Ovis aries: one gene and its partners. The protein of the gene in region 7 interacts with the protein of the main gene of each other region in a biochemical or structural test. Links are inferred from orthologs where the notes say so. Each region holds a gene or a part of one and is shown on either strand. Other genes may lie near its edges. The genes, in order: RPS6KA1, MCM7, ADRB1, DGKZ, FRMPD4, MAS1 and SNTA1.

Region 1 (4,055 bases), on a different chromosome or scaffold from region 7:
ATGGGGAATGGCTAAGGCAGCTGTTTCCTGCAATCTCCCGCCTGGACCCTTGCAGTAGCCCCTGCGACCCATTCTCCACGCTGCTCCAGGGCCTCCTCAAGTGGCACATGCCCTTTTTGGGGATTTCTTCCTGGAAGGCCCTTTCTTTCCTCTTTCACTGTCTAGAAGCCGGGCAGGAAGATGGGAAGAACCAAAGGGTGGGGCTGGGAAGGATCAAAACCTCACTCCGCTGCTCGTGGACTGGATATCTGGGGCAAGTTACTTTGACCCTCTGAGTTTCAGCTTCCCCTCTGAGAAACAGGATGACAAAAGTACCCAACTCATAAGGTCAATCGGAGAAGGCAATGGCACCCCACTCCAGTACTCTTGCCTGGAAAATCCCATGGGCGGAGGAGCCTGGTAGGCTGCAGTCCATGGGGTCGCGAAGAGTGGACATGACTGAGCGACTTCACTTTGACTTTTCACTTTCATGCATTGGAGAAGGAAATGGCAACCCACTCCAGTGTTCTTGCCTGGAGAATCCCAGGGACAGGGGAGCCTGGTGTGCTGCCGTCTCTGGGGTCGCACCGAGTCGGACACGACTGAAGTGACTTAGCAGCAGCAGCAGCATAACGTCAATGTGAGGGGGTACTGTTCACTAAGGACTCAACCCAGCGTCTGACACAGAGGTTCCCACCACTGGGACCTGTTGTTTAGTACTGAAAGCGCAAATGTTCCTTCCTCTGAGAAGGCCTGTCTGCCTGGTGGCCCGTAGCCCTGCCTGGGTCTCCACTGCCTATACCTCTGACCAGGAGGATCTGCTTCTCTGTCCCCTTGTGTGCAAACCTGTCTGTCCCCTCACACTAAGTCCCCAAGAGGCAGGGGCCGTGACGATGCAGCCCTCTGTCCCCCTTCAGGGCCCAGAACACAGGAAGGGCCAGTGAATGATCACCAAGTTGCCCAAACAATACACAAGATAGAGGGCGGGGGAGGGGGAGCAGTCTGCCTGGGAATCTTCCACTTGCAGAAGTACAGCAACAGAGGTTTGTGGGATATTCCACATGGAGAAATGAGGCTGCCAGCCCCCCGCCTGTGAAACGCTGAAAAGTCCTGGGATGGGACCCTGCCTCCCCAGCCCTGAGTGAGCAGGGCCCAGGCCTTACAGGCTCACCTTGGCTGTGTCCGAAACCGCGTTCCAGTTTCCCCCACTGAGAGTGAACTTGCCACTGCCGATCCGGGTCAGGATTTCCTCTGGCGTGTCACTGGGTCCATTGGCAAATGGAGTGTATCTGGGGGAAAGTCCACCTGGTGTGGGTATGGCCTCTGGCCTCCACTGAGGTGGCCGGGGTGGCGGGGGGCGGACTGTATCTCCCCCTTCAGAGTGGGTGCCCCCAAAGGCGGCACTTCCTCCCCAAGGTGGAGCTCCCAAAGGCAGCACCACATCCCTGTCTCCAGCTCTTCCTGAAGCAGGGATGAGTCTCTCCCATCAGACAAGCAACACCCCAGCCTGTACACTAGGGCTGGAGGAAGGGTGGGGGCAGACAGGGTGCAGGCCAGAGGGGCACTCACCCCGCCAGCATGGTGTACAGCAGAATGCCCAGGCTCCAAATGTCACAGCCTTCATCATAGCCCTGGCGCTTCAGGACCTGGCAGGAAGGCGGGCAGGGGAGGGTGGTCGGGCTGAGGGGCACATGCCTGCCTGCTACTCCCCAAAACGCAGGACAAGGGTCCCAGGCATGGGCTGATCCTGCCTTGGTACTTGGACTGAGACCACACAGACTGGAGTCCTGGACAGCGTGGGGCCTCTGGAAGGGACACAAGGCCCTTGTGCCAGGCCCCCCCCTCACTCTCGCAGCTGAGGAGGCTGGGCCGCTCACCTCAGGTGCCACGAAGTTGGCGGTGTAGCAAGGTGTCATGAGGAGCCCGTTTTCAGCCCGCAGCTGCTTGGCGAAGCCAAAGTCACAGATGCGCAGGCACTCGGGATTCCCACTCTCATCCACATACAGGATGTTGCTGGGCTTGAGGTCCCTGTGCACGACCTGGGGGCAGGGGGCTGGGTCAGTCCTCCAGGTGGGCAGGCTGCCGGGGCCCAGGTCCACTGCCAGGGCTGGGAGAGTCAGAAGATGGGCCCAGAGAGGGGGCAGAAGGACCCAGAATCTGAAAGGGGGGAAGGGGCTGCCAAGGGGCCTTGCTGCTGCTGGTGTTATCAACCTGAACCCTCTAGGTCAATGTCTGTGTGCGTGCGCGTGCTCAGTTGCGTCCAACTTTGCAACCCCATGGACTGTAGCCTGTCAGGTTCCTCTATCCGTGGAATTTTCCAGGCAAGAATCCTGGAGTGGGTTGCCATTTCCTACCCCGGGGGGTCTTTCTGACTCAGAGATCAAACCCAAGACTCTTGTGTCTCCTGCACTGGCAGGCGGGTTCTTTACCACTGAGCCACTTGTCAGCTCTAACTTCACCATCCACAGGGAACTCCTCAAAGCTGCGTGCCACACAGGTGTGTACATGCACGCATGCTAAGTCGCTCCCGTCGTGTCTGACTCGGGAACCCACAGACTATAGCCCACCAGACTCCTCTGTCCACTGGATTCTCTAGGCATGAATACTGGAGTGGGCGCCACGCTGTCCTCCAAGGGATCGTCCCAACTCAGGGATCAGACAAACCCACGTCTCCTTATGTCTCCTGCATTGGCAGGCGGGTTCTCTACCACTAGCACCACCTGGGAAGCGGGGGACCACACATGTGACCTAACGGCAACTCCATTCTTCCCATTGCATGGGTCAAAATCTTTGAGGAATATGAGAAAAAAAGAGGAATTAAGAATGACTCTATCAATCCATCACCAAACACAGCTGGGTCTACCATTAAAATATATCCGGGGACTTCCCTGGATAGTGGTCCAGTGGTTAAGACTTTGTGCTCTCAATGCAGGGGGCCTAGGTTTGATCCCTGGTCAGGGAACAAGATCTCACACGCCACAGCTAAAGATTCGGAGTGCCACAACTAAAACCTGGTAGTCAAATAAATAAATGTTTTTTTTTTTTAATGTCCAGAGCCCAGGCACTTCTCAGCCCCTCTACTAGCAGCATGCAGATCCCAGCCATTATCATCCCTCCCCTGGAATACGGCAACAACCTCCTAACCGGTCTCTCTGCTTCTGTCTCATCTCCTATGGCCTGTTCTAAACAGAGCTGCCAGAGTGATCCTGTTAAATGTAAGTCAGATCATGTCACCTCCAAGGGTTCCCCTCTTAGGAAGAACAGTCTTTACGATGGCCTGGTGGCCTCACCTCCTCTCTCCCCTACTGCTTGCCCACATCGCTGGCACTCTATCACTCCTTTCCTTGCTCAGCTGGCTTTGGCCACGCCAGCCTCTTTGCTCTTCCTTCAAAGTGCTAAGCACACTCCTGCCCCAGGGCCTTTGCACTTGCTATTCCCTTTTTCTGGAATACTCTCCCCTTAGGCATCTGCCTGGCTCATTCTCTTATTTCTTTCAGGTTTCAGCTCAAATTGTCACCTTACCAATCAGGGCTTCCCTGGACCATTCCATATGAAATATAAAACGCCACCTGGTCCATTCCATATAAAACAGCAACCACAGACCAGTACTCCTTACTCTCCTCACCCTGCTTATCTTTACCCACAGCGTTTACCACTGTTGGAGATTCACTTCATCGTCTTCAGAACCCACCCACTGGAATGTAAGCTCCATGAGTGTTTGGCTCACTGCTGCATCCCAGCATTAAGAACAGTTCCCAGCACACAGTAGGTATTCAATAAATGCCTGCTGAAGAAATGGACAAACGACACTGCCGAGGCCTTAAGCACATGACCCTCCCCTGGCCCCATGTACTCGTGTGTAACCGGAGGAGGCTGACGCATCCCACTTGCTTTTCATCCACACCCTCTCCCTCTGCATGGTTCCATTCAGAGTCACTAACTCACCTAATTATTAACAACTCTCAGATCTCCGACACTAACCCGGAACTTTTCTGAGTCCAGCATCGCACAGCTGCTGACCAGATGGCAACCACTGAATGTCCCCTAGCCCCTCAAGCCCAACAATCCCAGACTAA
Region 2 (3,031 bases), on a different chromosome or scaffold from region 7:
AGTAGGAAACAGCAATTGGTGGATGATTAGGCTTAAATATGCTGCATTTAGAAAGTCCATCAACATTTCAAGTTATCCCCAACTTTTTTTTTAAACGAAAATGGCCTTTGCGTGATTGAGACAAATCCACCTGCCTTAAGAGATGATTTTGTTAATTCATGAGAACAGCTAAAAGGGAAAAACTACATTAGGAGCCCCTGGGAGTCCCTGGACGGACTCCTCAGAGCAGTGCTGTCAGGCACCCAGGCAGCAAAAGCCAGCTTTGCCAAAATCTGCACCTGGGTTAGTAACCCTGAGACTGCAGGTAGAGGTGTGTGAAGGCAGGTTCTCTGCCGTGGTCTTCTACGGCCAGCCCGGGGGAACCAAGACTCCCTGTTCTCAGACCCAGGACACCAGGAGGAGGGGAAGGGGGGAAAGCTTTTCAAAAGAGAGAGACAGAGGCCAAGACGCCAGGGAGTGGACCAGCCCTGTCCGGCTCTCCTACCTCATCAGTTTCATGTCCAAAGGCTCAAACTGGGCAGGGGGCTGCCGGCTGTGCTGGTGCACGTAGGTGATGTGCTGGGCCAACCTGGGAGGAGGGGAGGCAACAGGAGCGCTGTGTCTTGGTGCCCCCTCAGCGCTCCACCCCACAGCCTGGTCAGCCAAGGATTGTCAGCGCTTCAACCCTGACCCCCTCTGAGAACTGTGGAGCAACCCCTGCTGTTTAAGGGGAAGGTTCCTGCTGTTTCCCTAAGACAATAACAGGTTTTCCAGTTTCTCCTCCCTGCACAGAGATGGCTACAGGGGGTGTCTCCCAAGTGCAGAACTGCAGTCACCTCAGGTCATTGTCTCGGTCGGGCCGGTCCTGGATCAGCCAGAGAAGGTCAAATCGGGAAAGCAATGCCGCAGGAAGCTGTATATTTTGTTCCAGGCTGCGGCGAGGGTTGTAGCGTCCGTAGGCAGGGTTGGCGGCAGCCAGGATGGAGCAGCGGGCGTTGAGCGTTGTGAGAATGCCCGCCTTGGCAATGGAGATGGTCTGCTGCTCCATGACCTCGTGGATGGCTGTGCGGTCGGCCTCCGCCATCTTGTCGAACTCGTCAATGCAGCACACTCCCTGGTCGGCCAGCACCAGGGCCCCGCCCTCCAAGGTCAGCTCGCCACTCACCGAGTCTCTCAGCACAGCCGCCGTGAGGCCCACCCCGGAGGAGCCTCGGCCTGTCGTGTACTGGCCTGCACAGAAGGGTCAGGAAGGCAGACACGCACAGGCCTGTTTAGGAAAATGGAGGAGAGTAAGGGAGCAACGGCAGGGCAGAGGGAACGCGGCCGTGAGGCGAGGCCTGGGCTGAACTGCTCTACCAACCCAGCCGGGCCGTCCCGAGGCAGTGGCAGTGGCAGGTCTGGCGGTGATGACACCAACACCCATCTCCATCCCCTGGCCCTCCCACGACGGAAGCCTGGTGGTCCTCCTCCTAAGTTTGCCTCTCCTAGGGTCTGATACTCACTGCGGGGGGCGAGGCGGTCAATGTAAGACAGGAGCTGTGACTTTGCCACACCAGGGTCCCCCATCAGGCAGATATTGATGTTGCCTGGAGGAAGGGAAGGAAGCCCCTGAGTGACTGTTCCCTCGATGCAGGTTGTCTGCACACAGAGAAAAGGATATTGAGGTCTGCCTGCCCTGTTTCTAATCCCACCTTGCGCCCGTGAAATCAAGATGCCGGCTTTTATTCTGTGACCGATGCGACCCTGGTCTGGCACCCTTCCCTGATGTCTCCACTCACCCCTGATTTTCATGCCTCGAGGAGACTGGTCCACGCCTCCCACCAGCAGGAGCAGCAGTGCCTTCTTCACGTCTTCGTGCCCATATATCTCTGGGGCGATGGAGGCCGCCAGCTTCTCATAGAAATCCTCCTCTACGGGAAAGCCAAGACTCAAGAGTTTTTCCAGGGGAAAGAAGCGCTTGGGATAAACTCACATTTATCTTCCTGCAGACCCCTCACCTGCGATTTGCCTCAGCTCCTCCCTGCTCAGCTCTCCGGCCCCAGACTCATCCTCCTCACTCTTACTCATCTTCACAATCCGATGAGCTTCCAGATAAGTTTCCGAGAGTAAACCCTTGGGCAGGAAAACGCCAGGGCATGAATGAAGTTCTCTGCTTGCCCACCACACGATGCCCTCTGGAGTTCCTGACAAACCCTTTTGTTCCATTCTGCCTGGTGTTTTGCTATTGAAACTTTCTTCTGTGGGGCTGGTAAAAGGGAGGGGTAAGGAGGAAGGAGACCACCACTTCCTCCTCTGAAACTCCCTTCCTCACCTGGAACATCTGTCGGAACCCAGTGCGCAGGATTGGCAGGAAGATGCCAGTAACGCTGACGTGGTCCCCGGGGTGGGCGATCCTTGTGTTCTCCCCTTCTACCAGCACCGTGATACTGCGAGGGATATTTCCCACGGGCACTTGGTCGCTCTGGGGAAGAAGGGCGCTTGAGGCCGGAGGACTAACCTCCCCTCCTGCGCACACCCATCTGCCACTCCCTGGCCTATTTGGCCCCACACAAACCAACAGAGGGAAGCTGAGCTCTCCTTTACCACATCCCAGCTCAGTCAGAAAGTTCCAGAGAAGCCTGCCTCCTACTCTCTGCAACTTCTCTGCCTCAGCTCCTCTCTCTGTTCTACTTTCTTCCCTCTACTTCACGAGTTTCTACTGGAGTTGAGTGAACTCCCAACCTCAAACTTCCCTGGGCCCTGGACCTCATACTCTAAACTCACGTGTTCCTGCATCTTCATCTCCTGGAATTTGATGAATTTGGAGCCACGAGTCTGGAGGTACAGTCGGCCTCCTGAGCGGTTGGTCTGGCACTCCTGGCTCGGGCACATGATCAGAGGCATGAAGGTAGGAGATTGGATCTAGAGTGGAAAGGGAAGCACCAGAGAAAGTCACGAGGAAGGAGCCCTCAGTCACAGGAGCCACGCCCCTCCTCCGGCAGAGACGATGAAACCTTTGGGACTGTCTTAAGCCGTGCAAGGTACACATCAACAGACACAAAGAGAACAGACT
Region 3 (4,641 bases), on a different chromosome or scaffold from region 7:
ATATAACTTTACATGCTATTGGATTTTAATCTTTTTGAGTATTTATATATGTTTTCTTCTCTCATCCCTCCAAAATTAATCCTAGAGTTTTGAGAATCTGGGAACTTGGGCAAAGGAGAAGGCAACGCAGCAGACCAAGAAATTTGAAATCTCAGTTCACTACTGTGTCACCCAAAGCCAATGTACCTTTTTTGTTTGCACTGACCCAGCTCAAGTCATACAATCACGTGAGTAACAGAACACAAAATCCAGGTGTTATTACTGAACATGAAAAGTCTGAAAAGTAATTAAACGTGTTCTAGCTTCCGTGGCGGTGTCATTTACTCTAACATGCCTGTCCTTAAGCCTCTCTCTCTCTTTACATTACCGGCACACACCGTTGCACCATACTCACACATCCATCAGCTGGGACCTGGGAGTGTGTATTTTTCCAACTGGTCCTCAGCATTAGCTGTCAGCTGCACAAACCTTCCTTTGCTTTCTGCATCTGCTGCCCTGGAACGACAGAAGCTTCTTGCAAGAATAGCTCCCGGGGAGCGTTCCTGACAGATGCGCGCTCTGCTTTAGCAAGGCGCTCGCTGGAAAGTTTCTTCTAACCGCTCACACCCGCCTCCGATCCGATCCCCGAGCTGGCAGGACGCGAGCTGGCTGGGACTCCTCTTGACAGAGGAAGGGCTTTACACACACCCTCCTAGGCTGCCCAATACAAGAAACAGTCTTGCAGCCAGACTCCTCCACCCCCAGCGAACAGACCGTCCAAGGCGCTCCGGTGTTTCGAGAACACCGAAGTCCCCTTCCTGCTAAAGGGCGCGTGAGCTCTGCTCTGCAGGAAACCTGGGCACTGGAGGTAGATGGGATGGGTGGCGGCGGGTAGAGCCGGGGCGCAGCGGAAAGCAAACGCCGGAGGCAAACAGGGCGCAGGAGAGGGGAGATTGGGGGCCGCGGGAGGGGGCAGGGTGGAAGCCGGGCGCGACTGGGAACCGAGGGGAACTGGGCACTGGAGCCAAGCGGGCTCTGGAAGGGACGCGCGGGCAGGAACCCGCGAGCGCTGGGGAGGGGCTTGCTTGGCGATCTGCCCCGGACTCCCTAGAGCCGCAGAACCGCCGGTGGAGGCGGGGTGCTAGGAGTTGGCGGGGCCGGGTGGGGGTGGGGGGGAACCAGAGAGGGGCGTGCCTTCGCCAGGATTGGCTGCAGGAGCCTGACGCGAGGCCCCGGGGGTTGGCTCGGGGGAGTGGGAGCCGGGTGGGGTGGGTGCTGGGTGCCGGGGCTGCGGGCTCCGCGAGCTCAGAAACATGCTGAGGTCCCGGCAGCTGTTCCAGCAGCGACAGCGGCTCCAGCAGCAGCGGCGGCGGCGGCGGCGGCGACAGCGCACGGCTCCGGCGGGGAAGGCGCCCGGCGCCCATGCCTCCGGCCCCGCGCCGCGGCTGCGCTGACCTGGCCGCGACCTCCCTCCGCGCGCCCCGCCGTTCGGGCCTCTGGGGGGGTTCCCCAACCGCGGCCCAACTCCGCCACACCCCTCTCCCCCGGCCTCCGCAGCTCGGCATGGGCGCGGGGGCGCTCGCCCTGGGCGCCTCCGAGCCCTGCAACCTGTCATCGGCCGCGCCGGTCCCCGACGGCGCGGCCACGGCGGCGCGGCTGCTAGTTCCCGCGTCGCCGCCCGCCTCGCTGCTGACCTCGGCCAGCGAGGGACCCCCGCTGCTGTCGCAGCAGTGGACGGTCGGCATGGGCCTGCTGATGGCATTCATTGTGCTGCTCATCGTGGCGGGCAACGTGCTGGTGATCGTGGCCATCGCCAAGACTCCGCGGCTGCAGACGCTCACCAACCTCTTCATCATGTCGCTGGCCAGCGCAGACCTGGTCATGGGTCTGCTGGTAGTGCCGTTTGGAGCCACAATCGTGGTGTGGGGCCGCTGGGAGTATGGCTCCTTCTTCTGCGAGCTCTGGACCTCGGTGGACGTGCTGTGCGTGACGGCCAGCATCGAGACCCTGTGTGTCATCGCCCTGGACCGCTACCTCGCCATCACGTCGCCCTTCCGCTACCAGAGCCTGCTGACCCGCGCGCGGGCGCGGGCCCTCGTGTGCACCGTGTGGGCCATCTCGGCGCTGGTGTCCTTCCTGCCCATCTTCATGCAGTGGTGGCGGGACAAGGACGCCAAGGCGAGCCGGTGCTACAACGACCCCGAGTGCTGCGACTTCATCATCAACGAGGGCTACGCGATCACCTCTTCCGTCGTCTCCTTCTACGTGCCCCTGTGCATCATGGCCTTCGTGTACCTGCGGGTGTTCCGCGAGGCCCAGAAGCAGGTGAAGAAGATCGACAGCTGCGAGCGCCGCTTCCTCAGCGGCCCCGCGCGGCTGCCCTCGCCCGCGCCCTCGCCCGGGCCGCCGCTCCCTGCCGCCGCGGTGGCCAACGGGCGCGCCAACAAGCGGCGGCCCTCGCGCCTCGTGGCCCTGCGCGAGCAGAAGGCCCTCAAGACGCTGGGCATCATCATGGGCGTGTTCACGCTCTGCTGGCTGCCCTTCTTCCTGGCCAACGTGGTGAAGGCCTTCCACCGCGACCTGGTGCCCGACCGCCTCTTCGTCTTCTTCAACTGGCTGGGCTACGCCAACTCGGCCTTCAACCCCATCATCTACTGCCGCAGCCCCGACTTCCGCAAGGCCTTCCAGCGCCTGCTCTGCTGCGCGCGCCGGGCCGCCTGCGGGAGCCACGGGGCCGCCGGGGACCCGCCGCGCGCCGCGGGCTGCCTGGCGGTGGCCCGGCCGTCGCCGTCTCCCGGGGCCGCCTCGGACGACGACGACGACGACGACGAAGACGACGTCGGGGCCGCGCCGCCCGTGCGCCTGCTGCAGCCCTGGGCTGGCTACAACGGCGGGGCGGCGGCGAACAGCGACTCGAGCCCGGACGAGCCAAGCCGCCCGGGCTGCGCCTCGGAATCCAAGGTGTAGGGCCGGGCGCCCCTCCCCGCCTTCCCCGGCTTCCCCAGTCCGGGCGCGGGCTGTGCGCTCCAGGAGCAAGAGAACCCGGGCGCCCCTGAACCGCTTCCCCGGGAAAGAGGTCTGTGTTTACTCGAGACCGAAAGCAGGTGAACTCGAAGCCTGCGAACCTCGTCTGCATCATCCAAGGGCAAATAGGAAAGCCACGGACCGTCGCACAGAAAGGAAAGTTTGGGGAGAGGTGGGAGAAGTTTGGGGAGGGGTGGAAGAGTGGCTTACTGATTGTTCTTGGGGTTCTTTTTCCTGTTTCTGGTCCAGCCTTCTGTGTGTGCGTGTGATGCATCTTTAGAGTCCCTCCTCCCCCCGCCCCCCCGCCACGTGGCTTTTAACACTTTCTGCGATGACTGGGAAGGGAAGGGGGAAGCGTTAGGAGGTAAAAGTCTCTCGACTTAGTTTCCATCCCATTCCTGGGAACAGAAGCGGTCAGCCAGAGAGAGAGGAGAGAGAATGACACTTTATCAGGACGTTGTTTCCTTTTGCTTTTCAGAGAAATTCCATTTTAATTTCTGAGGAATTATTTCTCCTGTTCTGAAAGCCGAGGGCAAGGATGGATGCAAAAATCGCGTTTCAGGAAGTTTTATGCTCTTCTTGGAACAAGCCTCACCTTGCTTCCCTTTCGGAGGGCAAGCGGGCTGTCCCTGAACGCCTCCTCGGTGGTCAGGCTGAGGGGTTCCTACCTCACTCACACGGTGCACATTGCACGGCCAGATAGAGAGACTTGTTTATATTAAACAGCTTATTTATGTATCAATACTAGTTGGAAGGACCAGGCGCTGAGCCTTCGTGACATGTGACTCTGTCCATTGAAGACAGGACAGAAAAAGGAAAAAGAAAAAAGGAAAACAATTCAGATTACTGCACATGTGGTATAGACAAAAAATCAAAACAAAAAAGCCGTGATTCAAAGTGGCATTTTTTTTGCACAGTATTAGGAACTGTAAAGTCCACAGAAAATGTTATTTGCACAAAAAGAAATGAAATATTTTTTAATGGGAGTGGGGTGGGGCAGATCTTAAAAACTAAAATAAAATTCAGATTCTATCTCTGTTGTCTGTTATGTTATTGAGCTAGCAATTTATTGGAAAATACCTTTTTATACTCTTTTATCATGGTACTGTATCCATATTATAAAAAATTATCTTAAGGATTTTTTTTATTATTTTTTTATGTCCAAGGGCACACGTGAATCTGCTGGTGAAATTTAGCACTTGTGTGTAAATACTATTTCCTCTGTGTGCTTTACCAAGTATTTATACTCTGGTGCAACTAACTACTATGTGAGGAATTTGTCCATGTGCAATAAATACCAATGAAGCACAAAAAAAGATTATGTACTGTGTGTCTGTAAGGGGGGTCAGTGATAATGGAAAAGACAGTTTGTTTTGTTCGCAATATAGACTGGATTTCCCATAGAGCTCTTTTAATAGCTTTTCATGACTCAAGAGCATAGCAAAATGCCTCTAAACCAAATAAGGCGTGCACCTACTGAGAGAGAGCTGCAGACTTGCCCTACATTTTCATAGCCGGTTCCAGAATATTCTAGACTACTTGGAGGTGTTTTCAAGATCCCATCTGCCACACTTGACTTAAGAAGTAACATTTGAGCTTGTGCATCTTCTTTAAAAAAAAAAAAAAATGGAGTCAGGT
Region 4 (4,497 bases), on a different chromosome or scaffold from region 7:
AGCCTCTGCAGGTGAGGGGGAGGAGGGCAGAAGAGCTCCTGGTTTCCTCCTAAAATCAGTGCCGTCCTGCCTGACATTTGCTGAGTGCCCACACACATCAGGCAGGATACTAAGTCCTTGGCAAACACGTGCACTGTTTTATAAACCACAGCACCCTAAAGAATAGACACGGTATCATGCATGGCTCCTGAGGAGAGACCGAGGAGATAATCAGCCCAAGGTGCACAGCTAGTCCGTGAGGAGGAGGCGCTGGAACCCACCTCAACCCGAGGGCAGAGTCTAGTCTGAGCTGGGACTAAGGTGCCAAAACGGCAACAGCGGTGCATTTACCCATCACCCGCTACGTGACAAGCGCGCTCACTCACCATCTGCTTTGATCCTAGCTACCTCCCCCGAGGCAGGTTACAGAGAGGAGGAAACCAGCTTGAGGAGACCAGGCCCAGGCTCCTGGGTCACACGGCTGGCCACGGGCAGGAGCGGGACCTGAACTCAGGTCTGCCTGACCCAGGGTCTGCGCTGCGCCCAGCAGAAAGAGCCTGGAGGGCCAGCGGCCCGCTGCCGCCGGGACCCTGACTTTCCAGCACTGCCCCAGGGTGTCAGCTTTCCCCGCCCGCCTGGTCAGGCCGCCCTGTGACAGCTGCCCAGCCCGGAGATTAGTCACCCGAACACACCGCCTGATGCGAGTGTCACCCAGAAAACAAAAGGCCACAGTCACTGGGGGGGAGGTGCAGCAGGCGCTTTGTGGGTGGACCCTTCCGCCTGCCCAGCCCCGCGCCTGCGACAAGAGAGGCTGGGGGTGCGGACAGGCCTTGCAGCTCACCTGCCTCAGGACACGGGGGTGACTTAGAGGGGCCCCCCCCACGCCTGGGTCCCCGCCGGGCCCGGCCCAGGGGTCTCCCCAGCGGCCTGCTGGCGTGGTCACCACCAGCAGGGGCAGGCTGGGCCAGGCCAGGCCAGGCCAGCGCCGCGTGACCTCACGCAAAGCCGCTCCCTCTCGGGCCTCAGTTTCCTTGTCGGTTGGAGGAGGCCATCAGCTGGCTGATCTGACGGTTTATGACACGCTCTCCTCTAAGGCGACCGCACCTCTGTGCTCCGACACCCCCTCCCTCCCGGCGCAGGCTTCCTGTTCCTCTGGTCGCCATAGAAACCTCTGTCCTCTGGTCAGCAAAGGCCTGACTCCTGACTTCCTATCTCGGCCCAGGCCTCTCCTGGGTCTGCTCCCAGGCCCTGCCGGCTCTCAGGCCTGTCCCGGACTCTCCTCTGCCTGCGCCTGCAGCCTCTTCCCATGGCACGGCCCTGGGCGGCAGCTTCCTCTCACCTCACGCTCTGTCAGCTTCCACACACCACCCTCAGTACATGTAAAGGTCACCGGAGGAGGCCCCACAGGGTTCTGACACCAACAGCGGAGCAAAAACGGCTGCCCTCAGCCTCCTGGTCAGGGCCCGGCGGGGGAAGCCTGTCACACCCGAAGGGAATGGGCTGGGAAAGGACTCGGGGGCCCGGAGTCGACGTCCAGCCGGCTGCTAGGAGCCTGGGGAGGAGGACAAAGGGTGCTGTGGGCAGACGGGCTTGGTGGCAGCTGGCCGGGCACCCTTGGTGCCTAGGCTCAGGCAGCTGCCGGGAGCAATGGGCACAAGAGCCCCAGCTCCATCGGTTGCTGGGCAGAAAGGCCAGGACCCGATCGCCCAGTTAGACTGGCTCACGCCATCTTACCTTCAAGCTTTGGAACCCTGTATCTGCCACTGCTTTCCTTGGCTGATCAACTAACCTTTTGGAGTCTCAATTTTCTCCTCTGCAAAACAGGGCTGAAACGACCTAGTCCAGAAGCTTTGACGTGACAGAGGTTCGGATGACATTAACGGTGCAAAGTACCTGATGACAGCCGGCAGAGAGGAGGGGCTTGGCAGGGCCTACATCCACAGCAGACACCTGGGCGTGTGGGTCGTGCCACCTACTGGAGTCTGTCTCTGCTCCCAGGTGGCTCAGTGGTAAAGAACCCGCCAGCCAGAGCAGGAGATGTAAGAAACGTGGGTTCGATCCCTGGGTTGGGAAGATCTCCTGGAGCAGGGCATGGCAACCCACTCCAGTGTTCTTGCCTGCGGAATCCCATGGATGGAGGAGCCTGGTGGACTACAGTCCCTGGGGTCATCAAAAGCCAGATACAACTGGGCATGCACGACGGTGCAGGTAGGAGCCAGAAAGGGAAGCGGGAGCAGCCAGGATGGCCACCACCCACCATACGAGGAACACAGCTAGGCAGCCTGGGCTGTGTGGGGGCCCTGCTCATGCTGGGACAGATACCCTCTGCCCCGGCACCAGATTGGGCCTCCAGGGACTGCTCTGCCTCCCAGGGTGCTCGCACAGCCCACCCTGTGGGATTCAGCCAGAGCACCCGTTCCACACTGAGTGTGGAATGCCACCCACCCCAGGCGCCACGTCCTGGTGAAGGCTGGCAACGATGCCCAGAGGTCATCTCCAGCAGCCCCACAGCAGGGCCTGCGGGTCAGAAGCCGCCCTGGCGGCTCTGCTCCCACAGCGCCGAGGCTGAGGTCGAGGGAAGGGGGTGGGGACGGCTGGAAGTGGGGCCTGCCTGGGGGCTGCTGAGGCAGGGTGCCCGGGTCTCCACTCACTAAGGGGAGACTGCCAAAACCAAACCAAAGCAAACTTCACAGTGCGAGACGTGGGCCAGGGCTGCGCGGTACGAGGGGCAACTAGGCCAGTCATGTTTACCACGACGTGGTCTGCCCCGGCTCGGGGACAGCAGCTCAGACCCCCATCCCTTCCCGCTCCCTTTCCATCAGCTCCAGGAGCCTGGTTTGGGGACAGTGGTGCCTGGGGGACCCTCCCCCCGCAACCCCACCCCGACAGGTCCAAGAGGGTTAGGAAGCAGAAGGCAAGGGAGGGTTGAGGGAAGCCCCTTTGACCTGATCTGGAAGGCAGGGTGGCAGGCAGGAGGTGCCCTCAGGTGGCAGGCAGAGCAGGCGGGTGGGGGCCGGGGTCCCCGTGGGCAGGGGAGCCCTGTTGCAGAGCTGCAGTGCCAGCTCCAGCTGCTGGCCTCCGGCTGAGCAAGTCCTAGTTTGGAGAGCGAGCTGCTGAGGCTGCTCCTCTGCCCCCTCCCCCTCCCTACCCTCCTCCCCGCCCCCCCAGCCTGAGACAGCCGTTATGAAAATAACCCGATTGGTAACCGACTGCACTTCCTCTCCCAGCAGAGCAAGCAGGCAGCGGCTGCTGGGCGGGCGGCCGGGCGGGCACACAGGGGCACGAGCCTGGCTTCCCGGCTTCTCTTCCCAGCGTCCCCAGAGGCTGGCAGGGCAACAGCCCAGGAGCTTCCCCTCCAGCCAGCCCGGTCACAAGCACAGCCTGTATCTTAGCTCCAGGAAGGCGAGGGGGCTGTGGGGGGGGGGGTTAGACGTGGTGGGGAGGTCACCCTACAGCCTCTAGCTCCCCGTGAACAGGTTTTTCCGGGGCCTGGGGAAAGCATCTGAGACAGCGAAGCACCGGCCCCAGACAAAATAACCACAAAAACAAATATCTTGTGGAGTGTTTCACAACTTACAAAGCGCTTTTTCACAAGGATTACCAGACAGGAGGCTTGTAGCTCCCCCTGCGCAAGTGACATTTCGGTCCCAGCTGAACCACCAGGGCACCTGAGGCTCGAGGAGGCCCATCATGCCCAGAGCTCAGAAGGGCTGATCCGGGCCTCCAGATCCCGGCTTTCGCAGCCCTGCCAGGGGGCCTGTCAGGTCCAGAAGAAGCCAGTCCACCTTGCACCCACCCAGCCCAGCATGCCAACCCTCGGTTTACACTCCTGGCCCCCAGAATCTAGAGCACCAGCTCTCCAACATCCTGGTCTGAGGACCCTCTTATACTCTTACAAATTACTGAAGATCCCCAAAAGGTGTTCTTTGAGAGTTACAGCTATTAACGTGGACCATATTAGCTTCCGTGGTGGCTAAGATGGTGGAGAATCTGCCTGCAATGCAGGAGACCTGGGTTGGATTCCTGGGTTGGGAAGATTCCCCTGGGGAAGAGAACGGCAACCCACTCCAGTATTCCGGCCTGGAGAATTTCATGGAGGCTACAGTCCATGGGGTCACAGAGAGTGGGACAGGACTGAGCAACTACCGCTTTCACTTTTTCGTATTAGAAATCAAAACTGAGAAATGTTTAAAACACTATTCATTTAAAATATATTAAAATACTATTTAAAAACAATAAGCCCAGTATGTTAATATAAATAACACACTTTTATGGAAAATAAGCTCTATCTTCCAACACAAAAAAAGTAGCGAGAAGACTGGCATGTTTTAATTTTGTAAATCTCTAATGTCTAGCTTATTAGAAGACATCTGGACCCTAATATCTGCCTCTGCAGGCAATCTGTTGTGATATGTTAATTTGGCTGAAGTATATGAAGAAAATTCTGCCTCACCCTGACAAGTAATAAGAAAAGGAGAGAGGATTTTAATAGCCCTTTCAGGCAATTACAGATACTCT
Region 5 (4,672 bases), on a different chromosome or scaffold from region 7:
TCAATCGAATTAGCAATAGCATTAACTCTGAGATACTAACTTTGAACACGTGAACCTTGGTTCCTCCCATAGCTCTGTCCATCACTTAGAAGTAGTTGTATCTCCATCAAAATCGATCGTCTGATGCGAGTTATCATTTAGATCTCAAGACAAGATAAGAAAGAAGACATTTCTCTTTCAAAGAGAAAATGTAACAGAGTTGAAAAGTAAATGAAAAGGTGCTAATTACTAATAATAGGTTAGTTTTCAAATTGTTCTTTTAACTTCTAAAACTAATGAGTAGAGAAACACTTTGTAATTTCTTTGTAATGGACATCAGTTACTCGGTAAGATTAAAACTCAGAATGATTCTGATTATTTATAAAACTCATACTATAAAACTCATTAGTGCAAAGAAATAACAAAGACTTTCAAAAGAAATACCATTTTTGACATCTTTAAACAGTATCTTTGAGAAGACTGTGGAAATTTACTCCTCAAGGAAGAAGCGCTGTGGATTTAGATAAGTGATACCGGTGACTTTGGTTTTAAAACTTGTCATTTAGTAATCAGTGCAGGCTTCTCTAATAAGTTGCTGATCTGCTCCTTCATGTTTCAACAGCTGGCATTAGGCCAGTGTAAATGTTAAATTGACACCTGGGCTGGCCCTTAAAAATGTCAATGACATTGTTGGAAATGCATATCTGTAGATCTTGTTGAGGTTCCTAGAATCTCCAACCAATAGGCCATCGTTTGGGTTTGTATCTATCAATCAACTGGCCTCTAATGTACAGAAGTCTCAATCCAACCACAGACAAAGAAAAATCCATTTTAATTAGGGAAGCATGAGTTGTACCATCACAAAATTCACAACTCATGTGTTTTCTAAATTACATTTCTTTGGCAGAAATTTTTATTGTTTTGAGTCAATGCATCTAGGCCACCTCAACTGTGCCAATTACGTAAATTCATATCCATGTTTTGAAATAGATGGCATAATATAATATCATCTTTCTACCATTATGAGGGATGCAGGCAAACTGTTGAAATTAGCGAACAACAATATAGAGTGTAAAAAACTCCTGGGCTATCTTCATATCTTCAAGATTCCTGAGAGATTCCTTCCCCATCCTATTTAGGAAGGACCCAGGAAGCCAGCCCTACAGTCACAAACTGAACTCTGAAGAGAAGTCCTCTCCCCTCTGCAGAGACTAGGAAACCACTAACAACACCCACAGGAGTTTTTCCGGAGCTACTCGCCAGCAGTCCTAACTTAAATGTGCTGGACTATCCAGAAGAGCAAATACTCAATAGCAATCTTGGCAGATGTTTCCATTTTTGTAAAAATGATCCCCTATCTCTCATGGATCCTTTATTTGCTAATTAGTCCATAGTCCGCTGGGCTGAAACAAACAATGAAGCCTGTGGTATTGAAACATTTTTTCCCCTTGGCCTACAACCTCTGTTCACTTCTATTAGGCTAGGGCCAACTATGCTTTGGGATTTCAAATCTTGTTCACTAATTTCTCATAATTAAGAATATTTCACTTAGATTGGAGAAGAAAACAGAGTGGCCTCTTGCTATTATTAGAGGTGCAATATAAGCACTTTTTTTACACAACTGCAAAAAATCCAGAGCACTATACCCTCTGTGAAAAACAGTTTGGTTATTCTTGGAAAAAATGAACATCTAACTATCATATAATCCAGCAATTCCACTCCCAGGTATATACCCAAAAGAATCAGAAGCAGAGACTCAAACAGATACTTGTGCACTAATGCTCTTGTGTGCATGCTACATCTCTTCAGTAGTGACCGACTCTTTGCGACCCTATGACTGTAGCCCACCAGGCTCCTCTGTCCATGGGATTCTCCAGGCAAGAATCCTGGAGTGGGTTGTCTTGCTCTCCTCCAGGTACTAATGTTCACAGTAGCATTATTCACAAGAGCAAAATGGTGGAAACAGCTCAAATGATTGCAGACAAATAAATGTATAAACAAATGGGATCTATCCATACAATTAAATATTGGGGGGGGTCAAACACTTCATTTGGATTTTTCAGTAAGATTTGACAGAGAAACACGAACTGTTAGCCAACCCAGTATTACTTGGTCTTAAAGGAATGAAATTCTTAGACATTCTACAACAGGAATGAACCTCGAAAACATTATGCACAGTAAAATAAGCCAGATAAAAAAAAGTACAAATATTGTATGAGTTCACTTATATGAGATACCAGTTACTGGGGGGAGGGGGAATAGGGAATGACTGTTTAATGTGGACAGAAGTTTCTGTTGGGGAAGATGGAAAAGATCTGGAAAATGAAAGTGGTGATAGTTGCAAAATAGTGTGAATATAGTTCATGTCCTTGAATTGTACACCTAGAGGCAGTTAAGATGGTAAATAAAAGTTACCATTATGTTATATGTAATATAACCATTATATATATAACATAAATTAAATAATTGGTATGTAATATATATTTTAGCACAATTGAAAAAAAAAAGAAAAGCACCACAAAATATCCAAAACCTTAACCAATGGTAGTGGGAGAAAGTTATAGGACAACCCATAACGCATGTAATCCTCTCGGATGATATTTCTAGTTAGAGAAGAACCAGTAATATTTCTGTCTTAATCATTTCAAGAAGGCTTTCCAAATGACACTCCTCCATGTCAAACTTTATTCACTTGTCTCAGACAATGAATACAACTGGCCTGAGATTCAATAACATACATTTTTGCTCTGGCCCAGGAGGGCCTAAAATGGCATGAGCCCAAGAACAAAGCAACCTCATATCACCAGATATGGAAGGTCCAGGCAATCAGTTGATTGAGTCATGGCCTCCAAGTGCCCAGGAGTCTGCAGTTTAAGAATGCTAATTCTATGGAGTCAAGGGTCAAAACAGAAAAGTCCCAGAAGGCAAAGTTGGCACCGTTCATGAATGTTGTGTTCAACTTACTTGATGAAGCAGTCTCGGCCATCCCGGTTTGCCGTCATCTCCCATCCATAGGGTGGTACCTGGTTCAAGCCCCAGGTTCCCGAGGGAGGTGGCCAGCCTGAAGACTTCGTCCTGTGGCTGGAGGAAAGAAAAAAATCATTACACCAGACTCTTGGAAATTTCTTCTCTGACAAATTCCAGAAGGGGCACGGGACTGGCTCCTCTCAACTGCGGGCTGTATACTCAGCTGACTACATGAACGGTTAGGACGTTTTTAGGTCATGTACTGGGCTCACAATCTGTCTTTACAGTATCTTGTTAGCTTTTCAAAGCAGCCTTACATATACACATCTTGTTTCACAAGATGGGGAAACGATGAATAGCTCACAAAGATTAAGCAACTGCCCTGAAGACACACAAGCCAATTTTGAACGTTCACACTTTCTATGACACTAGGCACTCCTGGGACCAGATATTAGGATGGACTGACAAACAAACAGCTATCACAACACAATATAAATGCACACATGAAAATAAATTCCTATTTTTATACATCTGAAACAAATAACTCCAAGCCTCAGTTTTCTGAACTCTGACTAAACTACAAAATTTCCACTTACAACTACACTCAAAGTGAGTCAAAGTGAGTCAGAAAACCTTAGACAAACTCTCCATTTATGTTGCAGTGAAAATACACACATTAGCTTTTACATTTTCTAGTTCACACCTTAAATGTGACTCAACAGCAAAATGAAAGCGTAGGTAAAAGAAAATTTTCTAGAAGCTTGTCTTTTCAAGAGCAACAGGAACAAGGAAGTGACTCCATATCACAAGCAGCTGTGATGAGCAGCGTTGCTTGGTGACAATTGCTAACCAGAGGCCTAGGGTCCAGTTTCTGAGGCATCACTGAATCCTGGCCAATGCTGTTCTGCCCGGGACCTGCGGGAATTCCACTGTTCTCTCAGGAACATGGGAGACTCCTTTAGAGCCCAACTGTGGGAAGGAAATACATGATGTCATCTTAGGATGTCAACCAACATCCTTGACCATTTGTCCTGTCTCTAGGTGATATTTCTTACTCTAGATGGCCTGCTAGATCTTCTAGGTGGTTCCAAATTGTAGATGGGAACAAAGTGTATATGCGTGTGTTAGAGGTTGGGTAAGAACAACTCCAGAGTCTCACAGTTAGTGTCTCAATAGTGAACCTGGAGCCCTTCATATATTAGAAAGAATCGCCCCCTCCCCCTGCACCATGTATAACATGCACAACTTGTACAACCATCTATGGCGGGCCTCCCACAGTAAATATCCAAATCAGGGGTGTCAACCTGCCTGCAAGGAGGGGACAATCTTCACAGGATGCAGGGTAACTCAGCTCCACCCCTACTCCCACCCCCATCCACACATTTGACTCTGACCCAATGCTTCTCCCCAAGGGAAACCAGCCCATTTCCTGAAAGGTTTCTGAAGAGGAACTAGCTTACAGAATTTTAACTACCTCCACTGCCTTTAACTTCCATTTCAGTTTTCCCACATCCTCCATAAAGTGTGGGGAGCAAAAGAGTTCACAAATTTAACACAGATCCCACCATAGGGCTAATTCCCACCTGAGAACTATTACAAGAACAGACATGCCAAGTTTCTGTCCTTCTCTGCACACAATCCAGCAGGGACAATATCCTCTGGTGGTTTTTGAAGAGTGAACTGCTTGTCTGCAGTGAGAACTCATGGAGCCCCTACTCCCCTCCCC
Region 6 (4,486 bases), on a different chromosome or scaffold from region 7:
ATGCTGGGCTGGAAGAAGCACAAGCTGGAATCAAGATTGCTGGGAGAAATATCAATAACCTCAGATAGGCAGATGACACCACCTTTATGACAGAAAGCAAACAGGGACTAAAGAGCCTCTTGATGAAAGTTAAAGAGGAGAATGGAAAAAAAAACTGACTTAAAACTCAACATTCAAAAAATTCAGATCATGGCATCTGGTTCCATCAACTTCATGGCAAATAGATGGGGAAACAATGCAAACAGTGAGAGACTATTTTCTTGGGATCCCAAATCACTGCAGATGGTGACTTCAGCCATGAAATTAAAAGGAGCTTGTTCCTTGGAAGAAAACCTAGGATAATCCTAACACCATATTAAAGAGACATTACTTTACTGACAAAGGTCCATCTAGTCAAAGCTATGGTTTTTCCAGTAGTCATGTATGGGTGTGAGAGCTGAACCATAAAGAAAGCTGAGTGCTGAAGAACCGATGCTTTTGAACTGTGGTGTTGGAGGAGACTCTTGAGAGTCCCTTGGACTGCAAGGAGATAAAACCGGTCAATCCTAAAGGAAATCAGTCCTGAATACTCATTGAAAGGACTGATGCTAAAGCTGAAGCTCCAATACTTTGGCGACCTGACTCACTGGAAAAGACCCTGACTGGGAAAGATTGAAGGTAGGAGGAGAAGGGGACGACAGAGGATGAGGTGGCTGGATGGCATCACTGACTTGATGGATGAGTTTGATCAAGCTCTGGGAGTTGGTGATGGACAGGGAAGCCTGGCATGCTGCAGTCCATGGGGTCGCAAAGAGTCAGACAGGACTGAGTGACTGAACTGAACTGAACAAATGATGAACCAGGCTATGATAGAACATAACACCCACCCTCCCGCAAATATAAAAGAATCATAGTCAGTGAAGCATTTGAATGCAAAAGAAATGTTCAGAAAAAACAGTTGGACATTGTTCAAATTATGTTGCAGGGGCAACTGTATTCTGTCTGCTTATCCTTCTTTGCCTGAGAGCCACACTTCCACTCAAACTGACCACAGGTGTGAGTACTAAACAAAGCAGCTTCGCCCCTCTGAACCCCAGGTTCTTCGCAGCATTGGCACATAGTTTACTGTATTTCTGGAAGCCTGGGGTGTCAGAAAAGCTAGACACTGAAAAGCACTTTGCCAGTACAAGTCTCATGGAAACGCCGAACTGAAATCATAAATCAACAAGCAGAGAAAACAAGCATGGTGGTTTCCATGGATGTTTAAGGATGCGGGCTGGCAGGTCTACTAGAAACTGCTACCTGCATTCACTTCTCAATGAACAGATGGGCAGCGAGGGTGACAGAAAAGCGAGAGAGATGAGAAAAGGCAGAGTCGGAGGTAGAAGCAGAGTTTTAAAGGCTCTGTTCAGGTGCTTGCTGCAGTTTTCTCTTAAAAGAAAAGCATCCTCTTCCATAGCCCCCTCTCCGCTCAGCTGCCCACGGTCCTACCCTGGTCCTGAATTCTCAGGCTACGATAGCCATCTTAGGAAGGAAGGAAGAGAGGGGTGGAGGGAGGGAAGGAGGGAGAAAGGAAAGGAAAGGAAAAAGAACAAGAGTGAAAAGCCAACCAGTGTCCAGGGTAGGCCATCTGAAACTTCATACGCTCCTAGGCAACCGAAAGGAGGGACCGGCCCCCAGGCTGGACCTTGCAGGTGTGCAGCTCTGGAGAGAGGGCACGTGCCCGCCTCCGTGTGTGTGCAGTAACCTGGACAAACAGAGACCCATTCGTGAGATGGAATTTCCATGGCAGGCACTGGATCTGATGGGAATGTGCCGCAGGGACATCTGTCCTTGTATTAAATGCCTCGCTCCCTCGAGCCGTCTGCACAGAGAAGCAGAAACTCCTCACTCCCTTTCCAAGGGTACAGCAAGGTCACCTTAGACCACTCATCTCGAAAGTGGGGGGAGTTGGGTGATTTTATCTCCAAGGGGACATTCAGTGTTTTGATGGTCACACTGAGAGGAGGAGGGAACTGGAGCCTAGTGGGCTGAGCCCACGGATGCTGTTCAACATCCCAGGAGGCACTGAAGAGCTTCCCACAGGAAAGAATTTCTAGCCCCCAAATGTCACAGTGCCAAGGTCAAGATACCTAGTGGTGGGCTCCTTACCACCTTCTCCCTGCTCTCTGCATAGCGATCGGACGAAATCCCGCATTTTCTCTCTCCGGTTCCCCTTACCCACCCTGCCTGGGAAATGCTGCCAAGATGCTCACATCAAAGAACAGGGGAATCCTTTCAACAGAACCTGGCCACCTGCGCACCTGACTTGGGAAGCAACAGAAACCATGACTGACACACCAGTGCCCTCTGAGGAAGGCAGAGGAGAATCAACCCAGCTTGCCTCCAGCCAAGTGATATCCCCAGAGGAACCAAACACACAGCAACAACCCCTTCAAACCCCAATTCCTTTATCCTTGATAATATCCCTTTAAACAACCTTGACCACCTCCAAGTCCACCACTGACTCTGTGACCTGAGATTCTTGCCAAGATTCTCGCCCCCCTGTCACGAGTCAGAAAGAAAAAGTTAGTGTGGAAGTTTCGACCCCAAAAGTTGAAAACTGACGTCTGGGGACAGTTAATGCAGCAATAGAAGCAAATTTTCCAAAACAAAGGCAGGAGAGAGGTTTTTGGCAACACGGAGCAGACATCTAATACACTATTAAAACCACCAGCACAGAAAGGGTGGTCCGGGCAATAGCTTTTGGAAGATGGAAAAATCTTACTTTGGTTGTCAAGGTCAGCTGAGCAGTTAGAAACCGGGGTGCAGGCTCACGCGGTCCATTCGCTCAGAGGGAATCAGAGGTGGCGACCGGGAGGCTGGACCTTCGCGTCCTGGGCGCCGCTGTCCTGCCGACCTGCAGGGTCCCCGGTGCCCACATCCCCTCCAGGCAGCCTGCAGCCTGCCTTCTCCGAGGAAATCAGAGCTGCTCTCCCACTGCTGAAAAAATTCGAGATGTGCCAAGCAGATGGTCCCACGCTTATCAGCAGAAGCTGTGCTTCAAATGGCATCGCTCAGTGACACGCTCAAGTGAAAATCTTCACTCCGATCCAGAGTGGGACTAGGCTGGTGATCACGTGAGGTGACTGACCTCCCTCCCACCCCGAACCACCAGGGCCAGCGAGGGCTGAGGCAGAAGACAGCCCAGAGAAACACTGCACAGAAGGGCAACATCGCATGTGTAGCCGAAAGAGAGCCGCGGCTCAGATTCCTGACTCAGCCTGTGACTGGCCAAGTGGTCTCTGCCAAGCTCTGGAAGACTCAGTCTTGTCCCCTGTAGAATGGAACTCATCATGACCCAAAGCTGCAATGGTTAAATGAGGTGTAGGAATGCACCTGCACAGTGAGGGACACGTGGTTAAACAATTCAATATCCCCTGCCTTCCTATAGGGCTTCCCTGGTGGATCAGATGGTAAAGAATCTGCCTGCAATGTGGGAGACCTGGGTTTGATCCCTGGGTGGGGAAGATCCCCTGGAGAAGGGCATGGCAACCCACTCCAGTATTCTTGCCTGGAGACTCCTCGAGGACAGAGGAGCCTGGCGGGCTACAGCTCATGGGGTCGCAAAGACACAACTAAGCAACTGACACTTTCCTTTCCTTTCCTACAACCCATGTTAAGAGAGTCTCATGCCCATGTGAGTGTGCAAGTGTGATGCAATGGAGGAGAGAGAGAGAGAGAGAGAGAGCCCAGAACTGGGTCCCAGGGGTGGATGAGCACCAGTGCCCAGCTCGCTTCTCAGCCTGGCTCAAAGACGATTCCTGGGAGCAGCTGTTTCTGTGAGATGCAGATCCTCACCCAGGCATTCAAGTTACTTTCTCCTGAGACCCTCTTCTTGGTCAACAGACCCCACGTGAAGGCGCCAAGACCAAGCAAGAGGCTTCTGGAGGGTCTGAGTAGCCAAGCCTTGTGGTGAAGACCCCCACCACCCATTTGTGGCAGCATTTATTCCTTTTTCTTTCCCCCAAAGTATTCCTTCACGATTACTGCGGCAAAGTAGCCGTGGACTCCTGGGACTGATTTGATCAACAGAGGGCAGGAAAGCAAATCAGGATTCTATGGGAAAGCAGCCTTAGGAGCCACAGACGGAGCCTTCTTCCGACTGTTTTCGTAAGCAAGAAGACGAGAGGCCAGCCAAATTGGCCTGGTGGGAAACCTGACCCGCGGCTCTGCCCTCCAGTGGAAGAGGAGGGGGGTACCAGGGCACCTCCCTGAAGGTCTCCAAACGGCAGGCAGAACAAGGTGAGGTCCGGGCACCTACTGGGCAGGCAGTGCTAAGCAGCAGAGCAGAAGATGGGGGAGACTCAGTGCGATTTCATTACCTGGATGCGATGCTCCAAAGAAGGAGAGTCAGCCTCCTGAAGACCTTTCCTTTGCCCCGAAGATCATCAGAAATTGCAGGGAAACTGGGACCGCCTAAGGCCACCAGCCAGGCTGAGAGAAAGGAGCGGTCGGAGGAGAGGAG
Region 7 (3,639 bases):
CTGCAATAGAGAGAAAACCAGCACGAAGTAATGAAGACCCAGTACAGCCAAAAATAAATACAGACATACATAAAAGAGAAACCCAGCAGTCAGCTATTTATGCTGCTACTGATGGTCAAGAGTACCCTCAAGGCATCAGGCTTCCAGCTGCTTCTTCTGCCATCTTTTACCATTTTTATTAAAAAAATTTTTCTTGGCTGCACCATGAAGCTTATGGTATCCTAGTTCCCAGACAAGGCATTGAACCTAGGCTCTTGGCAGTGAAAGCATGGAGTCCTAATGGCTGGTCTGGCAGGTAATTCCCCTCCTGCCGTTTTTTAGTGTGGATTTTCTTCTTCTTGGAAATAGCTTGGTGCCTGCACCTCTATGCATGTGTCCATATTCTAGACAGGGAGAAGGCAAAAGACAAAGGAATTGTTTCCCTGGTATTTTGTTCTATCACTGCATAAACAGCCATCCTAAAATTTAGTGGCTTAGAAGATAGCACGTTTAATATTTTTCACAGTTCTGTAATCTGGGCTGGCTTAGCCAGGCAGTTCTTCTGTTCCTTGTGCCATCTGCAGGGGCTACAAATCCAAGAGAGCTGGTTCACCTATGTGCCTGCTTCCTCAGCAGGGGTGGTTGGAACAGCTGGCGGCTGGCTAAGCATTCCTCTTTTTGTAGGGCTTTTCCACGTGGCTAGCTTGTTTTCCCTCTCAGCATAGGTGACCTTGGGGTAGTTGGATTTCGTGATCGCTTAGGAATGCCAAAATGGCACTTCTGCCACATTTTGTTTGTCAAACCAAGTCGGAAGGTCAAGGAGAGGAGAAATAAACTTCACCTCTCGGTGAGAGAGTGCATATAGGGAGAGATGAGTTTGGTGGAGGCCATCTTTGGAAACGAACGGCCCAGCTAGGAACACTTCAGTTGGGAAGGGACTTCGCTTTCTATTTCAACAGTCAGAATTGGATTGATGGCCAGTGCTAGCTGCAGGGGAGATCTGTAGTGGAGGAAGGCAGAGGTGAAGGCATTGGAATGGATATGTGCAAGCCATTCTCCAGTTTCTGCCCCACTTCACTGGTTACAGAAATTCCAAAGGGGAGTGAATCTTTAAAGCCCCACAGAACTTTCGAAGGTCCTTTCCCTGCCACTGACTCCTCTTGGACCTCCTTGAGACCTTCCCCTTACACTTGCCTGTGTGGCTTTTTGTCTCCCCACGCTTTCCCTTCACCATACCCTGGCTTTTTCTTTTCTTTTTTAACCATACAGTGTGCCTTGTAGTGGTGCTTCCCTGGTGGCTCAGTGGTAAAGAATTGACCTGCAGATGCAGGAGACACAGGTTCCATCTCTGGGTCGGGAAGACCCCCTGGAGTAGGAAATGGCAACCCACTCCAGTATTCTTGCCTGGAAAATTCCATGGACAGAGGAGCCTGGCTGCCTACAGTCCATGGGGTCTCAAAGAGTCAGACATGACCCAGTGACTAACACAATTACTACTACTACACTTTTGGGTGTGTGTATTTGTGTGTATATGCCTGTATGTGTGTTGGAGAGAGAGATGTAGTCTCTTATCCCAAGATAAGATAAGATAGATAAACCCCATGAGGCCCAACAACTGTGGCCAGAGCCCAGGAGCGGGAGTTGCTCCTGATTCTTTCATGGACATCCCCTGTGGTTTCCTCTGGTTTTGTGGTAGATGGGGGTTCCTTGGCTCAAGTTGTAGCATTGGGCACCTGTCCAGTGGGACTCCCCTCTACCTCACTTGCGCCTGCAGGTATCTGGAGATCTGCTCGGCTGATGGCCGGGACACCCTCTTCCTGAGGGCCAAGGATGAGGCTAGTGCCAAGTCCTGGGCGGCTGCCATCCAAGCCCAGGTCAACACTCTGACGCTCCGGGTCAAGGATGAGCTGCAGGCGCTGCTGTCAGCCACCAGCACAGCCGGGAGTCAGGACATCAAGCGGATAGGCTGGCTGACTGAGCAGGTGCCTGCCGGGGCCCCGGGGACCCCTCCTCCCCTCTTCCCCTCTCCCAGAGGCGACCCCAGTCCCATTTCCCCTCACTGCCTCACCCCGCCCTGGCCCTCTCACCTCTCTTCTCCCCTCCCTGTCCCCTCTCACTGGTGCCTTGCCTCCTGCAGCTGCCCAGTGGGGGCACAGCACCCACCTTGGCCCTGCTGACCGAAAAGGAGCTGCTCCTCTACAGCTGTCTCCCCCAGACCCGTGAGGCCTTGAGCCGGCCGGCGCGTACTGCCCCCCTTATCACCACCAGGTATTTGCGGGTAGGGCAGGCCTGTGTGTCCCACCCAGAGCTTGTGGGGGCGATGCTCTAGATGGACCTCAGAAGCTGGGGACTCCAGCCCCATTCTACGCTGAGTTATTCCCCAGGTGGCCTGAAGCAAGTCCCTGCCCAGTCTGGGCCTTGGTTTCTTCATCTATAAAATGGGGCCTCAGAACAGAAGGATATGAGGTCCTATCAGTCACTCACTCATTGACACCTGCTCTGTCCAACCTGGTGCTGCCTGGTTCAGATGAAAGACAGTCCCTAGAGGTCTCTGTCCTCAGGGAGGACCCAGCCTGGTGAGGAGACTGGCCTGGAAACAGCCTTTACAATGCAGAGTGTAGGAACCGCTTAACTCTACCTGGCCTGCAGGTGGGGGTGGTGCAAGGCTTCAGGTAGAAGATGACATATGAGCTGGACTTTGGCAGATGGGTAGAAATTTGCTATTTAAGGAAGGGTGGAGAAGCATCTTACACAGAGGGAACAATATAGTCAGAGGGACAGAAGCATGAAGAGCTCTCACAGCTTCACAGAGCTCACTGAGTGTGCTATAACCAGGGTGTAGACTCTGTCTGGGAAGTGGAGAGAAAGAAGGCAGGGAGTTGGCAGGCCCTGATCTTGCAGAGCTTCTGTTGCGTGGATAAGGACTTTTAGCTTTATCTTAAGAGCTGTGGCAGACAGAGTGAGAAGAGTTTTAACCTGAGAGTGAGGTGTCTCGTCGGGTCCTGTTTTAAAAAGGATCTGTGTGGCTGCCATGCAGAAAATATACTGGAGGAGGGGGATGGGAGCAGTTACGCTGGAGAGACAGTGGAGGTGGGTAGAGGCAGCAGATGGAGAAGAAAGGCCGCATTTGCATTGGAAACACATGGTGGGAAAATTAACCAGGCTTCGTACTTGCCAGATGGGGAGGGTGAGGGAGGTGTCCTGATGAATGGATGAACGGGAGTTTTAGAGCTGGTGTCTGGGTGGGCAGTAGGAGTGAGGGTGGGAGTGCAAAGGGAGGGGGTTGGATCAAGATGTTGAGTCCAAAGTGTCGGTGGGGGGCGGGTAGGTAGGGAGCTTGGGTAGGAAACTGGGGAACTTGTGAGTCTGTTGCTTAGGGCTGCCAAGTAGGAGACTGGGCATCAGAAACAGCTCCAAGGGGGAACTGAAGCTATAAGAGAAAGCTTGTGGAGTGAGGACCAAAGAGGGCGAAGGTATAGAACTCTGGGGTCTGCTGCCCTGGGAGGGCCAGTGAACTGCCCAAGGTTACGCAGCAAGTGGGAGTCAGGCTGTGAGGTGTGGGCCCTTGTTGCTCATGCCTCCTCACTCCAGGCTGCATTCCAGCACACGTGTCAGGAGCCTGCTGCCTACTAGGGATGAGCAGGTCATGAACGTTCTACC

The links.
Region 1: the proteins of SNTA1 (region 7) and RPS6KA1 interact in a test that uses a peptide from one of them, tested with the Homo sapiens proteins (2 studies listed by BioGRID and IntAct, with this or other methods). The link is inferred for Ovis aries from reciprocal best matches to the Homo sapiens genes SNTA1 and RPS6KA1.
Region 2: the proteins of SNTA1 (region 7) and MCM7 interact in a test that uses a peptide from one of them, tested with the Homo sapiens proteins (2 studies listed by BioGRID and IntAct). The link is inferred for Ovis aries from reciprocal best matches to the Homo sapiens genes SNTA1 and MCM7.
Region 3: the proteins of SNTA1 (region 7) and ADRB1 interact in a test that uses a peptide from one of them, tested with the Homo sapiens proteins (2 studies listed by BioGRID and IntAct). The link is inferred for Ovis aries from reciprocal best matches to the Homo sapiens genes SNTA1 and ADRB1.
Region 4: the proteins of SNTA1 (region 7) and DGKZ form a complex in vitro, tested with the Homo sapiens proteins (2 studies listed by BioGRID and IntAct, with this or other methods). The link is inferred for Ovis aries from reciprocal best matches to the Homo sapiens genes SNTA1 and DGKZ.
Region 5: the proteins of SNTA1 (region 7) and FRMPD4 interact in a test that uses a peptide from one of them, tested with the Homo sapiens proteins (2 studies listed by IntAct, with this or other methods). The link is inferred for Ovis aries from reciprocal best matches to the Homo sapiens genes SNTA1 and FRMPD4.
Region 6: the proteins of SNTA1 (region 7) and MAS1 interact in a test that uses a peptide from one of them, tested with the Homo sapiens proteins (2 studies listed by BioGRID and IntAct). The link is inferred for Ovis aries from reciprocal best matches to the Homo sapiens genes SNTA1 and MAS1.

What each region holds. Positions count from the first base shown.
Region 1 is NC_056055.1:240,301,890-240,305,944, forward strand, and holds part of RPS6KA1 (ribosomal protein S6 kinase alpha-1), read right to left. Parts: intron 2,019-4,055; coding exon 1,857-2,018; intron 1,626-1,856; coding exon 1,549-1,625; intron 1,269-1,548; coding exon 1,151-1,268; intron 1-1,150. UniProt on the Homo sapiens protein: Serine/threonine-protein kinase that acts downstream of ERK (MAPK1/ERK2 and MAPK3/ERK1) signaling and mediates mitogenic and stress-induced activation of the transcription factors CREB1, ETV1/ER81 and NR4A1/NUR77, regulates translation through RPS6 and EIF4B phosphorylation, and mediates cellular proliferation, survival, and differentiation by modulating mTOR signaling and repressing pro-apoptotic function of BAD and DAPK1.
Region 2 is NC_056077.1:36,789,575-36,792,605, reverse strand, and holds part of MCM7 (DNA replication licensing factor MCM7), read right to left. Parts: exon of another isoform or gene 2,881-3,031; coding exon 2,743-2,880; exon of another isoform or gene 2,441-2,742; coding exon 2,291-2,440; exon of another isoform or gene 2,092-2,290; coding exon 1,977-2,091; exon of another isoform or gene 1,890-1,976; coding exon 1,758-1,889; exon of another isoform or gene 1,566-1,757; coding exon 1,482-1,565; exon of another isoform or gene 1,210-1,481; coding exon 816-1,209; exon of another isoform or gene 569-815; coding exon 485-568; exon of another isoform or gene 1-484. UniProt on the Homo sapiens protein: Acts as a component of the MCM2-7 complex (MCM complex) which is the replicative helicase essential for 'once per cell cycle' DNA replication initiation and elongation in eukaryotic cells.
Region 3 is NC_056075.1:34,061,385-34,066,025, forward strand, and holds ADRB1 (beta-1 adrenergic receptor), read left to right. Parts: upstream 1-1,286; 5' UTR 1,287-1,401; coding exon 1,402-2,946; 3' UTR 2,947-4,035; downstream 4,036-4,641. UniProt on the Homo sapiens protein: Beta-adrenergic receptors mediate the catecholamine-induced activation of adenylate cyclase through the action of G proteins. This receptor binds epinephrine and norepinephrine with approximately equal affinity.
Region 4 is NC_056068.1:75,287,947-75,292,443, reverse strand, and holds the start of DGKZ (diacylglycerol kinase zeta), read right to left. Parts: upstream 3,073-4,497; 5' UTR 366-3,072; exon of another isoform or gene 1-365. UniProt on the Homo sapiens protein: Diacylglycerol kinase that converts diacylglycerol/DAG into phosphatidic acid/phosphatidate/PA and regulates the respective levels of these two bioactive lipids.
Region 5 is NC_056080.1:10,634,468-10,639,139, reverse strand, and holds the start of FRMPD4 (FERM and PDZ domain-containing protein 4), read right to left. Parts: upstream 3,060-4,672; 5' UTR 2,982-3,059; coding exon 2,944-2,981; intron 1-2,943. UniProt on the Homo sapiens protein: Positive regulator of dendritic spine morphogenesis and density. Required for the maintenance of excitatory synaptic transmission. Binds phosphatidylinositol 4,5-bisphosphate.
Region 6 is NC_056061.1:83,844,708-83,849,193, reverse strand, and holds the start of MAS1 (proto-oncogene Mas), read right to left. Parts: upstream 3,031-4,486; 5' UTR 2,747-3,030; intron 1-2,746. UniProt on the Homo sapiens protein: Receptor for angiotensin 1-7. Acts specifically as a functional antagonist of AGTR1 (angiotensin-2 type 1 receptor), although it up-regulates AGTR1 receptor levels.
Region 7 is NC_056066.1:62,900,201-62,903,839, reverse strand, and holds part of SNTA1 (alpha-1-syntrophin), read left to right. Parts: intron 1-1,753; coding exon 1,754-1,961; intron 1,962-2,116; coding exon 2,117-2,247; intron 2,248-3,639. UniProt on the Homo sapiens protein: Adapter protein that binds to and probably organizes the subcellular localization of a variety of membrane proteins. May link various receptors to the actin cytoskeleton and the extracellular matrix via the dystrophin glycoprotein complex.